Linked DNA regions of Xenopus tropicalis. The protein of the gene in region 1 purifies or fractionates together with the protein of each later gene. This does not show direct contact. Links are inferred from orthologs where the notes say so. Each region holds a gene or a part of one and is shown in the gene's direction. Other genes may lie near its edges.

The links.
Region 2: the proteins of mlf1 (region 1) and dnajb6 purify together in Homo sapiens (affinity purification with mass spectrometry; 3 studies listed by BioGRID and IntAct, counting the BioPlex papers as one, with this or other methods). This does not show direct contact. The link is inferred for Xenopus tropicalis from reciprocal best matches to the Homo sapiens genes MLF1 and DNAJB6.

What each region holds. Positions count from the first base shown.
Region 1 is NC_030681.2:115,310,655-115,314,167, reverse strand, and holds the end of mlf1 (myeloid leukemia factor 1), read left to right. Parts: intron 1-282; coding exon 283-442; intron 443-1,441; coding exon 1,442-1,580; intron 1,581-2,620; coding exon 2,621-2,630; 3' UTR 2,631-3,315; downstream 3,316-3,513. UniProt on the Homo sapiens protein: Involved in lineage commitment of primary hemopoietic progenitors by restricting erythroid formation and enhancing myeloid formation.
Region 2 is NC_030682.2:17,675,032-17,679,247, forward strand, and holds the start of dnajb6 (dnaJ homolog subfamily B member 6), read left to right. Parts: upstream 1-1,416; 5' UTR 1,417-1,429; coding exon 1,430-1,494; intron 1,495-1,914; coding exon 1,915-2,024; intron 2,025-3,206; coding exon 3,207-3,263; intron 3,264-3,625; coding exon 3,626-3,736; intron 3,737-3,861; coding exon 3,862-3,993; intron 3,994-4,216. UniProt on the Homo sapiens protein: Has a stimulatory effect on the ATPase activity of HSP70 in a dose-dependent and time-dependent manner and hence acts as a co-chaperone of HSP70. Plays an indispensable role in the organization of KRT8/KRT18 filaments.

The sequences.
Region 1 (3,513 bases):
AAAATATCATTGAGTAACACTCTGATGTTTTCTATAATAAATAAACCATTTGTACTATTTGATTGAAGCCCTTGATTAACAATGTTAAAGTTATAGTACTGCATATCAGTTCATGCCACCACGTTAGCACAACACTATTTTTTATCTGTACAAGTTCATGCTGCATTATTGAATTAATATACTGGTATACCATATGGCCTTCATACCATGCACTAGCATTCATATGAAAAAAACATTTTTTTTAAACTGCTTGGAAAATGTTTTTTCTTTTTTTATGTTCAGATAAAAGAGACAAAGAAAGCTGTAAGAGATTCTGAAAGTGGAATTGAGAAAATGGCTATTGGTCATCACATCCATGACAGAGCCCACATTATCCAGAAAAGTAGGAATCACAAAACAGGGGATCAAGAACTCAACCAAGAATTCCTCAATTTGGATGAAGGTGAACATTAATAAAGCAGAAATTATGTTTTATATGAAAAATGTTTTATTTAATGGGCTGAATAGAGCCAACCCCTAAATGTACTGCTGTGGTTTTAACCTTTCTTTCAAAAGATACTATTTGTGCTTACTAACAGAAGGTGGTTTCATTGATTTTATTATCTGTGTAATTTGTTTGGTAATATGTTAATCACCAAATTTACTTTTTAGTGGATCATTAATAAAACTGCTAGTTTGGACATAATTCACCAAATATAAGTTGGTGTGCAATAGAATGTAAAACAAAAACAGGCACAAAACTGGGTTGTGAGTCAGGGGCACATTACCAGCAGTGGCAAAAAGCTACCCCTACAAAAAACAAATTTAACAAAATATAGGGCCCATGGTAAGAAATGGAACTGCAACCACAATCTGTGGTTTCCACCACTAGTCTATTAATCACAGATTGGTTATTCTAGTTGTCTGTGTGTAGAATTCTTTTTGATGCATGTTTTATTTTTGTGCTACATAATTTTGACTTGCAAACTGACTTGGTAAAAAGTATAATACCTGGACTTTGTGATCATATAATGCAGAGAATAAACTCTCTGCCCCAAGCAGCAGCACCCAGAAATGCTGGTGGGTTGTGTCTGGGGCAGTGGTAAATGAGACCTAATATCCTATTTCCAAATAAATCTCTTTAGACAGTTCTGCTGCAAATCTTTTATTTGAAAAAGTCAAATTAAAGTGTCTAAAAATAAGTGGTGGATTAAGCAATGTAATAGTTTCTCGCTCAAATAAATATTTCCATATTAGTAGCACACACTACTTACAGTATATCTAGATAAAATACAGAGACACTATGTATTTAGAAAAATGTATATTGCTATTGTTACTCAATAAGATACATTTTCACTTTCAGTAATGTAGACATTTATTCCTCATTGGATAGAGGAAACACATATCTCTGTAAACATGATGGCTTGAACTTCTGTTCTGATTGTGTACTTTTGTCCCACAGCTGAAGGGCCATCTTTTGATAATGAATGGCAAAGAGAGGTTTTAAAGATTAAGTCATTTCCAGGAAATGCAGTAGAAGCTCCAAAACACAGAACTGTTAAACATATACCAAGCAAAAGCCAGCCGCAGTTGCCAGCAAGGTGAGACTGTAATATTTTACCATAGTATTTTTATTTAAATATTGAGATGAAAAATTTGAAAAAGTGTGTATGTATTTATTATTGAAACAAGTACATCCCTATAATGTAGAAGTAAGGAAGTTCAGGTACCCATCTGCTCTGCACAACATGAAAAAAACTACTTTTCAAAATATGAATCTTCATATAAAGTTACCTTTAGGTCATCTAAATCATTTTTCATTGATATGTCTGCTTTTGTAAGTAATACTTGAAATTCCTAACCCTGACTGTCCCTTCTCAACCTGTCAGTTCTAGTTTCTTATGCTAATGGACTACTGTTGTACAAATATGGCAGCCCTCATAAAGGAGCTTAGGGGATCAGATAGGTAATGTAAAAGCATTGGGCAAATACTTTTATGGCAACATTATAAACAGCATGCAAAGACATGTTATGATATTTTAAAAAAAAAGTTTCAGGTGTCAGTATATCTTTAAGGCTATTTCACAGCTCTTAAACTAATTTATGTTTAGAGCTGTAAAATGTTGAGGCAATATATAGAAAAAACCCACTGACAGAAATAAACACTATAGCAACACCTATGGAGACTCACACAGACAAAAGCTTCTATGGGAGGCAATAGCATAGAAACTTAAATGTATTAAGAACAGTAATGTGGTTAGTTATGGTTTCTTTATGGGGAAGTGAATGGTTTTTAGAAACCTGCCTTAGGCATACAAATATTATGTTTAGCAGACACTCCTCCAAAAAAAACCTAGTGAGTAAAAGGAAAATCTAACATAAAATGCACACACTTCTGCTAGATTCAAGAAGACAGATTGGGAAAAGGTAGAATATTCTTTTAAAGATGTATATTCTTCGGTTCCTTTGCCAGTAACCACCAGAGGTAAATATACACACATTTGTATGATTCTGCCTGGGTTTGGCCAGGAAAGGGTGCTAACAATTCTGAACTATTAACTATGGGAAGGAGTTGGTAATATAGAAAGGAAAATACAATAATTACTAATTCCACACGTAATAATCAATATATTTATTACAGGGAGAAGTGAGACTCGGCACCAGTCACCTAAAAGCTGAAGTGTTCCAGCCAATGGTGTGAAACCATCTTGTGCAAGGAGATCACTAAATAAATGATTGAGACATGCACATGAGTTTCCTCTGCATTTTTTGGATGAGCTATCTGTTCTGGACTCTTATGTTGGAGGTGTCTCACCACTCTGTAGACATCTATATCTACATAATAAGAAATTGCATAGATTTTGTAGCAGTAACGCCTTGGGCATTGACATTAATAGGTGGCTATGATGCAAAGAAAATGTGTGGAAGTGTGTATTTATATATATATATATATAGAGAGAGAGAAATATATATATTGCACAGTTCATGGAAAGATAAGCTAGCACAGCATGTTTGTAAGGTAATGTGTACAATTATTTGTAAAAAGATTTCTAATTAAACTGGTTAAATATTTATCTCAGTTAATGCCCCCATTAACTATATTAGTTGCAGAGGCTTGTATAATAGCTGTGTTTGCTTTAGTGGTCTAGTGAAAATAATTCAATTAAAGTAATATTACAAATTGTAATTTTTTTAAATCATGAATAGTCATTGTGTTCTACATAGTAAATATGCTGGAACTAATTTTATACAATGATGTAGATTCTGTATTGTGCAACAATCAAAACTTAATTGTGATTTAATGTTTCCAATGAAAATAAATACTTTGTACGTTTAGTTTTTCTTCCGTTTATGATTAAGATTTCTGTTACAAGACAATTAACTCTAGGCTGTGTCCTGCAAACCATTCTCTGCAGCTTTCACTGAGATAATCAAAACCATTACCTACAGCTGGGAAAAAGATAATTATAATGGCATGCAGAAGCTGAAGGGCTGCACAAGCACTTTTGTCGGATGGCGTTGGATCTGATATAA
Region 2 (4,216 bases), on another chromosome or scaffold:
TTTTAATTGATCTATATTGCAAAGTTGCTTGAAATTATATTGTGCTTGGGTGGAGTTCCCCTTTAAATTTTTCAGAAATGGGTTAGGACAAGAATAGATAGTTATATCTCATCAGCAGCTGGAGGGCTTGCTTTTACCATCACTGCTAAGAGAGCCATTGTTTCTACTTTTCTACAGCTGCTTTGCTTTACATACAGTTATGACATCTACTGTCCGAACACCTTATAAAAAAACAGGATTTTTAAATTTTTAATATATTCAATTTTTGTTTCCAAATTTCCATTCTGTAAATTGTCATGACAATTGACAGCGTAATCAAGTTTGCTTACTAGTTCTATGTCTTGGGCTGTCCAGAACAATTAATGGGCAATTAGCCTAAATCTCACCATAATTATGTCTCAGGCTGCCCCTCTGCCCACTGCTCCTCCATTGTGCTCCCTGCGATTTAGCACCTGGTGTAATATTCCAGTGCTTTGACTGAGAGGCTCTCCTAGGGAGCCAAATTAAAAGGGTAAACAAGATAACTAGTAACAGTTAACAGATTTTCAGGTTAACATTTGTAAGCTTTGGACACTTAAGGTGGCCATACACGGGCCGATTCTAGCTGCCAATATCTTTTTAAAATTTTTACCCCTGATGAAGACCCTTGATGGGTTGAAATGCGTTTGACTATACTTGCTATGATGTGTTTTTCGTATTGAATAAATTTCATTTTTTACTTATTGGTTTTGAGTGTGGAGATACTTTTTGCTTTCTTTAATATTGGCCCTTTAGACCAGTTCGGCAGCTTATCTGCCCATGTGTGGACACAAACGATGGGCCTGCCCCAACGATATCTGCCCTGAAATCGGGCAGATCTCGCTTGGGCAGGTTTGATTTTTCCGTTGGATCAGGGACAGCATCAGCTCGTTGATGCTGTCCCCAATCCGATGGCGCCTATACCTGCCGTTCTAATTTGATCGATTGGCCCCAGGGCCAAACGACCAAATTGGCCCAATATTGCCCACCCATAGGTGGGGATATCGGGAGAAGATATGCTTGCTTGGCGAGTTTTAGAAAGTATTAGCCAAAGTATTTTATCTGGTGGAGAAACGTCATGCCATTTAGATGAATGGAAACTACCTGTCACTGCTGGGGACAAACCGTTTCCATTCATCTACATAACAGGTGGCACAGAGATGTATCTGGCCATTTTTGACTGGCATATTTCAGCGATACATGTGCCACTGGCCTTAGGCTTGGGTTCAACAGAATAATAAAAAATGGAAATGTTGTGATACTCTTGCATTAATAGTACCTTTATCTTTGCAATGTGTTCCTGACTCTCTAATTGATTTACCTACCTCTTATCATATTCCGCTTGCATTTGAATTTGTCATCTCAATGCCATTATGAATTCTTTCCAGGCTTTACATCACATTACTGAGCCATGGTGGAGTATTACGATGTCCTGGGAGTCCAGAGGAACGCCTCTCCAGAAGATATTAAGAAAGCGTAAGTATTCCCTGGTTTGACGCTGAGGATATCCACTCTTATGGGGGGATTATTAAAACCATAGCACCTGGATACTTTATACTTTGTTTTTTTTGTATATAAAATTTTTTTTGGCAAGGATATTTTAGCCAGGAGTGCCCTCCATTTCTCTAAATTGACGCTGAGGATATGACTGGGCCATTGTGTGACAGCTCCATACACAGGCTGATGGGGGTTTCCACTCAGGAGGGATTGATGATGATGACGATGATGAGGAGGCACATAAAAGGCATGAGAGAACATGGCTGGGAAAGGATTAATTAGAGGAAAGATATGGAACACCCTGTGTGGCGGAACCTTATTTGCAGTTTGAAAGTTGCATTTAATGTTGCATTTCAATACCAATTACTAAACCCTATTCTCAATCAACTTGTATTCCAGATACCGCAAGCTAGCCTTAAAGTGGCACCCAGACAAGAACCCCGACAATAAAGATGAAGCCGAGAGGAGGTTCAAAGAAGTTGCTGAAGCTTATGAGGTCCTGTCAGATTGTAAGTATCTTCCCAAGACTCTTCCAACTTCCTTGGCTTGTAATTGTTTCCTTACTAGGCGCCCGATTTGCCCAAGGAGTTTGTTTTCATATATGGCATGATCGTTATTCAGCTGACACGAGTGATAGATCCTATCAATATTTATAATTAGGCTTGGCTTAAGCATACTAATCACTGACTGAGCTAATGAATTTAAAGGAGACATATTGTGTAAAAAACAAGAATGTGGTAGTGCATTATGCTCCTCTAAATACAGAAGGAATGTACTTTAAAAAGTTGTGTTTCAGGTGGATTTATTGAAAATTTCTCCAAAAACCCCACTAGTCCCGCCCATCTGTTCCACTCCCTGCTGCCTCCTTTCCCAGGCTGTGCAGGGGGGCCGGCGGCACTCGGCACACTGCATTGTAGGATAGGAACCAGAATTAAACCCTGCCTTTGCTTGTGTGACTGCAGGGCTGTGGTTGGCTGTGCTTCCTCCAGGGACGATTAGGACACACCCACCTTTTATTTGAAACACCGGCAGGGACCTGAGAGGATCTATAAGGAGCTCCAATAAAGGGGCCACAGATAGAATTAAGCACCATATATTATTCATAATTGCCTAAAAGATTGAGGGGGGATTTCACTTATCCTACATTTCTTCTTTAAAAAAAATGGTCATTATGCCCTTTCTGCTGAAAAGGGGTTTACGGTAAAAGTAGATTATTGAAGGATCCTTTGTTAATTTGTTTTCTATATTGTTGTGGGTATTACACTCATAATAAGGTGCTGGCCACTGGTATAAAACTTAGATAACAAACGTCATGTTAGTAGCTAAGCCGTCATACTGCTTGGAGAAAGTGTCAGAGCGGCTTTTGCAGCCTATTTAAAGGAGAAGTACACCACTTCCTGCTTTGTCTTAGTCCAGTAAGCAGGTTAGACTGATCTGTTGTTTTGTTTGGTTGAGGCTGGTGGGACGCGGCGAGGCACTTTTGAGCCTGGCCCTCGTGTGTTGGAATGCATTGCTTATTTATAGCCGTGTCTGTCCCCAGCTGCTGGGGAGACACACAAATACATCACAACAATGTTCTGCCTCAGAGAGAGACTGTGTGAAATTGTATCCTGAAATGATTTGCTAACTCCACTTAGACTAAACGGCTTGTATTTTATTTATTTATATTTGTTTGTTTCTTTCCCTTATAGCTAAAAAGAGGGATATTTATGATAAATATGGAAAAGAAGGATTGACAGGTGGTGGAGGTAAGTGCTAGTTTCATTTTAAACTTTTAACGCTATATTTATACCTCATTTATGCTTCCATGCAACTTAGATCCATTTCAGGGCCGTCTAGTTGGCTAGAGACCCTAATGTGCTCTATTTAATTGCCACTTGAGACCCAGCTACAGTGTGCAGCCTTTTCTTGCAGTCCAAGCCTAATTACACAGTGCGAAGAGTTCTATCAGATTGCCACAGAAATTCCTTGAGACCACAATATTCCATGCTTCTATATCCCTGTACTATGTGCAACCTTAATTGTATTTGATTACCTTTTATATTAAGAACAACTAATGCCGTTTTTCTATCTTTCAAGCTAATTAGGTTCTTTCTTATTTTTATTTTAGGCGGCAGTCACTTTGATAATCCATATGAGTTTGGATTTACATTCCGAAGCCCAGACGATGTTTTCAGGGATTTCTTTGGGGGAAGAGACCCATTTTCATTTGATTTATTTGGTATAGTGCACATATTTGTATTTTCTTTAATCTTAGATGTTTCTGCCGGGTTAAGGATTGTAATGTTACAGGTATTATTATATTACTGGTGTCAGGGAGTAATTTATATCCTGTTTCTCTTCCAGCTGACGATCCATTTGATGACTTCTTTGGCAGAAGAGGCCACAGAGCAAACAGAAGCAGGCCAGGGGGTTCCTTTCTCTCTACGTTTGGAGGTTTCCCTGCCTTTGGTCCTACCTTCTCTCCATTTGACTCGGGTACAGAGATGCAATACTCCTTTATCTGCACACTCAAGTTTTTGTCCAATGAAGGGATAAATGAATGCACAGACATCTGCAAATGTTTTATGTGTGTCTTGATTTAACATTCCTGCTACTGATGCCATTTTTTTAAGGTTCCAAGAACGAAAAATTACCCATTACCGTTATTTATCTTTAAAATTTGCATCATGGCTACCATAGCCCTAAAAGGCAGAGCTTT